Arabidopsis thaliana: one gene and its partner. The protein of the gene in region 1 purifies or fractionates together with the protein of each later gene. This does not show direct contact. Each region holds a gene or a part of one and is shown on either strand. Other genes may lie near its edges.

Region 1 (3,752 bases):
TTACAATTTCTTTATCTCACTCACTTTTCATTAGACTCTTTACTCTTTTAAGGCTTTTAAAGACAAAACTAATAAAAGAGCTAATTGGGGAAATAACCACAATTAATTAACTAAAGCCACTCTTTTGGATTGATACAAGCATCTAATAGTTTCCATTCCTCAGTTCCTTCTTCAGGTTTCTGCATCCGCAACAAGAGACAAACACCATCAGTAGTTAAGTTTCATTAGCTAAGATGAAACAAGATTTAGTTTCTTGAATCAAGAAACTTTACATGGTCATATTCTCATCTCGCAGATAGCGGAAGAGAGACAAGGATACTCTCTATTCGTCCTCCAGTCTTCAGACCAAATGTTGTTCCGCGGTCATACACCTTTATTTTTACCATCAGCAACAAAACATGAGACGAGGTTTCAAGAGATATTTATACAGAAAGAAAAACAAAGCTAGTAGTATCCAATTACGAAGTTGAATTCAACATATCTGCCCCTTCGCAGCTGTTGCCATGCCTTGTGTTGCTCGTTAAATGGTGTGTCTTTACGTTTCTCTACTATGGGTATAGAAGCTGGTATCACTGAGCTTGCACATTCTGCAAAATTCATCTCAGTATTCAAATAAGTCAACTAGGAAGTTTCTTAAAACAAAATGTCACAAGTTATATCTTGGTCACTACCAGTGGCGAATGACAGAAGCATCTCTTGATCATAGTCATTCAAATCATCAAAAAATATCCCTCCAAGCCCTCGCCTCTCATCACGGTGCTGCAGGCAAGACCGTAAAGTTTTTAGTGTTTTCAAATCCTAGGCGACAACTTATCACTGTATCAACCTAAACAAAACCTTGAGGCTCTAAATCTATTCTTGCACATACATGACTCTAAAACTAAGGTCTTTTAGTTCCACAAAGTGCTAAGATCTCACCAAACAATCAGAATAGCGTTAAAGGAACTGCAGACCTTAATGTAAAAGTAGTCATCACACCATTTCTTAAACCAAGGGTAGAACGACGGATCAAATTTATCGCAGGCTTGCTTTTAAACCTACACAAAGAAAGATATTTCAATCAGCATCTCCATAATCACAAAGCTTCAAACTTTCAGAACAATGGATCAGGTTTAACGACCGAATGAAAGTGCTTGACGTCTTCTTCAAAGATGTAAGCAGGTGTGAAGTCAGTCCCACCACCGAACCACCATTGCCTCGGAGCTCCAGGAACATCTACAAGTGATGAAATCAAATGCTTCATCCAACCAAAAAATTGGAACTTTACACTTCTCAAAGAGGATTAAGGTCTTACCCTTTGGAGCATCGGTCTCGAAATAGCGGTAATTGAAATGCAGAGTCGGAGCAAAAGGGTTCTGAGGATGCAAAACCTAGAATGTAGGATCAAGCTCAATCAAAGAACTCAGAGACCATATCAACAGCAATGTCGACTGATAGAGAGAGAGAGAGAGAACTCACCGAGCTGGTTCCAGCGGCAAAGAACGGAATCGGACCAGGTTTTTGCTCAGACGTGGCAGCTTTAGCAGCTCTATAAGCTTCAGGAGGCATAACACCATAAATCACAGAGACATTAACTCCAGCTTTCTCCCATACATTTCCGTCTTGCAAAATACGACTGATTCCACCACCTCCACCGGGTCGAGACCAAACATCTTCCTTGAATTTAGGACCTTCTTCGACTGCTTCAATGGCTTCACAGACTTTATCTTGAGCAGTTCTTATCATTTTCTCGAAACGAGCCCTAACCGAATAAGAAGAAGATTGAGTTTGATCGCCGTCGGAGACTCTGAGGAAAGTGAAAGGTCTTTCTGTTTCCGGAACTTCTTTCTCGATTGAGACTGAGCATCGCAAGTCGAAATGTGGTCTCTTTACGGAACGAGGAAAGTGGTAAGTGAAGTAATTCGGAGAAGATTTGAGACGATGAGAAGAGAAGAGAATGAAGGAAGAAGGAGAAGTGAAGAGAGTCGAAGAGTGAGACGCCATTTTCAGCGATCGATCGAATCCAAGTTTTCACCTTTTTGCTGAAGATAGAAGATGATAAGGAATCGTCAAAGCTCTGTTTTTTTAACCAAACCAAACCCGGTTATTTCCGGTTTAGTTCAACCAAAAAACCTCATACTCGGTTTAGTTCTCTTCTTTATTTATCTACTCTGTAAGACTGTAACAGAGAGAACAACGTTGATCTGTTCCTTACAGTACAAGCAACTATTAAACATGGAATGATCTTTGTTTACTTGGAAAGCAAGCGAGTGAGAGAAGAAGAGTCAAAGACAGGAGGACTGCAAGTGAAGTGTTGACAAACAAGAGCCACCACTTTCTCTGAGTTTCTGTTCTTCTTAGCCATCTCAGCTACATTACTGTTATGCTCTTCCCAAAACTCGATTTCATCAGAACTAGAGGGATCTATGTGAATCACCTGCTCAGTAAAACCACCAAAAGTCACAAATCTTGAATCTAGAAATTTGGATAATTTTTTAAGCTCTTACCGTTTTATTAGGATCATAGACTGAATGTGCTGCAGAAAGCATGTTGGTAAGCTCTGGGGAAGACTTAGAACCAACCAATACAACTTGTTTCCTCGACGGAACAGAGATCATATCTGCGGAGCAGCACATTAATGGCACAGCCACCGCCAGTTCTCTTAACCTCAACTCAAAGACTGCCTGCAAAAACAACAACAAAGAGACTCAATAATCTCTTTCTATGAATAGCAAATGGGATTAGTTGTTTGTTTGTTTACCAGGAGACGATGTGCCGTGTTGAGGTAGGATTCAGCTTTTTCTCCGGCGACTATGGAAGCTAACCTCACAAGATTGATAGCAGAAACAGAGTTCCCTGAAGGTTCTGCACCATCATGATCTTCTTTTACACGAAGAAGAACCGATGGGTCTTGTCCTTCAGTATTGAAGTATGCTCCTCCTTCTCGGTCCAGATATAACTCATCCTAAAATGTTTTTAACTTTTTTAGCCAAAATCAAGAACTTTAACAAATCGAGCTAGTAAAGATCTCACTTGCCTGTGTTTCTTGAAGTTTAATCGCCCACTTAAGCCATTCGATCCCACCTCCATTCTCGTAAAGATCGAGTAAACCAGAGATCAAGAAAGCATAATCGTCTAAGAAGGCAGGAGCTTTGGATGGCCCCTGTCTGTAACTGTGTTGTAATCTGCGAGACTGCTCATCATAGAGATTTCCTCTGATAAACAAAGCTGCTTTCTCTGCAACCTCTATGTAATCCTCTGGCTGAAAAATGAGTCTTCTAATTACAAAACGGTCAAAGAAGAAATTAAAGGAAAGGGTGTAGCATTCATTACCTGACTATTCACCACAGGGAAATAATATTTGGTGCTTTCAGGCTCAGCCTTAAGAATCTTGGAAGCTCTTGCGAAAGACGAGATAACAAGACCGTTCCAAGACACGATTATCTATGAAAGAAATCTTAAATGGTTAACAAATCTGAAGAAACAGTAGAGAAGACAACATGAGAATTCCAAGAAGAGTATTACCTTATCATCTAGATGCGGCTTAGGTCGCTTCAATCTGACATCGAAAAGCTTTCTTCGGCATTCACCTAATATCTCCTGATACTTCTCAACAGAGAGGCTAAACTTTGATGCCATAGCAGACGTCTCATTTCTTTCGATCAGCACGTTCTTCCCAGCAAATTCATTGTGCGGGTCACTCCTGCTCGAAAGATCGCAGTTACCTGATTTCTTAACATAATAATGCTCCTTGAAAAGATCAGCATTCTCCC
Region 2 (3,752 bases), on another chromosome or scaffold:
TTAAAACTTCAAATTATGATTCAAATTGTCATATCAGTGAGTGAAATCATAAGGTAACACAACAACACAGAATCAGTAGAAATCGGGTTCGACGTGTGTTATTACCTCATCAAGAGGATTCTCAAACTGAAGATTCACACTCTCTGCATGAGCACGCATAACTGGAACACGTATACACGTTGCTGTTACTTTTACTTCTGTGTCATTCTGTGAAGGGCAAGAAATTGGTGTGAGATATCTAAAATTTTTGAACAAAAGATCAAAGTGAAATGAACACAAAATAGCACTTAAGTAACCACTCACCCAGATCTTCCTTGTCTCCTTCACAAGTTTCATTTCCTCTTCGTTGTAACCGTTGTCAAGAATAGGAGCATTATGTGAAAACAAGTTAAATGCATACTGCAGAACAACATACAAAACCATCACATTACTCAAAAAGGGATTTCATAATCAGCACATTCGAAATACAAACTATAAGCAAATTAAGCACTCACCTGCTGCCCGAAGATGTTACAAGTCGGAGGTTTACCCTCTAAAACCTAAGAAAACACACCAATGCAAAGAAGACGAAGAAGCAGAATCACAACTCAGCACAATCATTAAACAATTCAATCAAAGAAGGCTGAAATAGAAACAAAACCTCACGAGTCTGCTGAACAAGCTCTTCCATAGCTGCAGCACCAGCACCACTAGCTGCTTGATATGTACTAACCACCATTCTCTTCACCTATTATAGCCAATCAAACATTATTCAGAGCACTAAAGTCTAAAGCTTCCATTGATTCTCTAACTACCCTTCAAAATTTTGGACTAAGCAGATTTCAGAATAAAAATCGAACCTTTGCGTGATGATGAAGAGGCGTAACAGCCATCAAACAGATAATGGTGGAGCAATTAGGGTTTGCAATCAAAGCCCCTTTGCCCATTCCAACTTTGATCCCTTTCATTGCTTCTGGATTCACTTCAGGAATCACAAGCGGAACTCCATCAACCATTCTAAAAGCCGAGCTATTATCAACAACAATGGTTCCTTTCTCCGCCGCCAGAGGACCAAACTCTTTGCTTATGGATCCACCAGCACTGAACAAAGCTATGTCTACACCGTTGAAGCTATCCGCCGTGAGCTCCTCCACCGTGTATTCATGGCCATCGAAGGCAACACGCTTCCCTGCGGAGCGTTTCGATGCAAGCATCTTGATGGAGCTATAAGGGAAGTCTCGATCGGATAAGACGGAGAGGAATTCTTGTCCGACGGCTCCGGTAACGCCAACGACGGCGAGTGAAGGCGCAGATTCTTGGAGAGACATTTTGACTCTTGCGGAGAAGTGTCTAGGTTTAGCTCTGAGAGGAAGGCGAGAGAGGAAATGGGTTTGTGGGGTTTGATGAGTGAACGTCGCCATTGTCGCCGCCGTGAGGAAGAAGAAGTGAGAGACAGAGAGATAGAGAGATTTTGGAGGCGGCTGATAGAAAAAAGCTTGGGACTTTAAAGTGTGTTAGTGAATTGACCAACATCTTCAAAATTCAAAACAGCAAGATTGTTTAATTTAAGATACAGAAACAGCATGATGTTTGAAACTGCTCATTCACCAGATTGAGTATATTCACACAACTTTCTCATGTGTTTCATCATTTCTTCTTTTGGAAATATTAAGTTGTTGAAAAGTCTTTTGTCATATAACAAGGCTTAGGGATCATATTTAAGAGCTCGTGATTCTGGTTTTTAGCTCAAAGACATCTATAGCTAACTTTGGAATCTTACACGTACAACAAGAGGACATTAAGTTTCTAGAAGTTAGTCTGGTCTGTTGATCAATCCTGCTTTACAGCTTACTTATGATGTGAATAAGAAAAGATAAGCAAGAGCGAGCACTCAGTCACCAGATTGAATATATTCGCATTACTTTCTCATGTTTTCATTGCTTCTTTTGGAAATTTAGAGATGTACCACTAGTTATGTTCTGACCATTACAAATATTCAGGTTAATGCTTCCAAAAATAAAGAGCTAAACATTATTGTTTGTTAGAGTTACTGGAGCAGCCTGAGGAAGAAGAACATCTTGGATTGCTGTGAGCTTAGCTCGGCCACCGTACTCTTCCGGTAAAGCATCTGCTCCGATCTCCTCCTCGAATTTTCTCTGTTCTTCTCCATCCGTAACTATCACAATCTATGCAACAGCAAAATCATAATTTATGTGATTCGTTGCTCAAGAACCATTAGAGATAGATACATCAAGAGGAGATTAAAGATCAAACCTTTTCCTGAGTTGCTTTCTCTAGAAAACGGCAGACGAATTTCCAAACGGTCACGAAGAATCCGGGCATATGCAAAATGTAGCATTTTGCAAGGCGTTCCGGGTAGTAAGACTAGAGAAACATTTTCCAAATTTAATAGACAGGACTTCTTTTTGTGTGATAACTATATTGTTTCAGGAAGAAGGGAGATGCTTACTTGTAAGAATTGAAAGCCAGTGATCAATCCACGAGCATCAAGGTTCTTGTATGTAATGTTTGCCAGATCAATAACGGCTACTAATTTCTCACCTCCAACTTCTTTGCCATTGTTGCCACTGAAACATAAAAACCAAAAAGCTTGTCTCACAACCAACTAACCGGAAGATTATTGAAGTGTTTTGGTTTCAATAATGTGTAAACACCTTGCGATTGTTTTGTCTAGCGCATAAACAACAAACTCTGCAACATCAAACAGATAAAAGATTAGTTCATAGATAATTATCGCAAGAATCAACTCAAGGAAAACACATAGATGGACTCAAAAAACTTCATTCATTTGAAGTCAAATGAAACTACTCAATAATTAGAGAACCAGGAAAGAAGCTGATCAGTTCTATGAATACAAAAGTCACTGAAAGTCAAGGGACAGATTATTTCCAACGAAAGTAAAGGTCAGAAGCAAGTGAGAGGTGATTACTCTTGAAGTTAGCTGGATCCTTAGAAGCAAAATGCTTAGAGGTTATGACAAGCACCAATGGGTGTCCGGATTTGGTCGGACCCTGAAGACAGACCTTTCTGAATTCCAATTCATCCTGCACTTCTGACTCAGGGATGAATCCAGTTGGAGGAACCATGGAGGCTCTCCATTTTTGCCAATCTACAAACATCTTTGCTGCCTTGACTGGGTCCATTGATCTTGCCACCAGGAACCTCATCAATGTTGGTTTGTCATATCCCTTTTCAGAGGAAACAACAACAACAAAAACCATTGATGAGATTTTCTGATTATGGATTCACTTTTACTAAACTGTCTCTACTGTTAGGGTTTCTGATGGGAGGCTCAAACCTAATCAGACAAACCACTATGACGAGAATGGAGACAGAGTTTTAACAGTGTAGCCCATATAAAACCCATCAAAATCAAATGACAGATATTTCTCATTTTCTAACGAGACATTGTCAGTGAAACTCATGAAACGGCCAAAAGATGCAAGCTTTGTAAACTGTAATGAAACTAAAGCGTCGAATTAGATTACCTCAGTAGAAGAAGAGAGTTTCTCGACCGATTTTCTCAACTGGGTCAAGGCAAGTTCTTGGCTTTCCTCCATGATCTTTGGCTCTCTCAGATCCTAAAAAAATCTCACAGAGAAATAAAGAGAGAGCCTTTTGTGGTCCGTACAGACGCACGATAAAGTAAGTTGAAAAAGTAAAGAGCTTTGATGTTGACAAAGACCCAGAAGCCACAGGAAGAAGAAACAGACAAAGTATTGGGTACTTGTCTCTACGGTAAGTGGATAGAA

The links.
Region 2: the proteins of hemf2 (region 1) and AT1G14810 fractionate together in Arabidopsis thaliana (co-fractionation; one large-scale study listed by BioGRID). This does not show direct contact.

The regions. Positions count from the first base shown.
Region 1 is NC_003075.7:1,411,045-1,414,796, reverse strand, and holds hemf2 (Coproporphyrinogen III oxidase), read right to left. Parts: upstream 2,013-3,752; 5' UTR 1,984-2,012; coding exon 1,459-1,983; intron 1,371-1,458; coding exon 1,295-1,370; intron 1,216-1,294; coding exon 1,094-1,215; 3' UTR 1,038-1,093; coding exon of another isoform or gene 1,032-1,037; 3' UTR 273-1,031; intron 180-272; 3' UTR 15-179; downstream 1-14. Other genes in the region: AT4G03200 (catalytics), read right to left, coding at 2,231-2,416, 2,487-2,663, 2,741-2,944, 3,017-3,241, 3,313-3,423, 3,505-3,752. UniProt on the Arabidopsis thaliana protein: Key enzyme in heme biosynthesis. Catalyzes the oxidative decarboxylation of propionic acid side chains of rings A and B of coproporphyrinogen III.
Region 2 is NC_003070.9:5,103,234-5,106,985, forward strand, and holds the start of AT1G14810 (semialdehyde dehydrogenase family protein), read right to left. Parts: upstream 1,618-3,752; 5' UTR 1,401-1,617; coding exon 840-1,400; intron 728-839; coding exon 641-727; intron 540-640; coding exon 495-539; intron 400-494; coding exon 304-399; intron 208-303; coding exon 106-207; intron 71-105; exon of another isoform or gene 1-70. Other genes in the region: AT1G14820 (Sec14p-like phosphatidylinositol transfer family protein), read right to left, coding at 2,004-2,165, 2,254-2,364, 2,450-2,567, 2,655-2,691, 2,930-3,188, 3,489-3,560.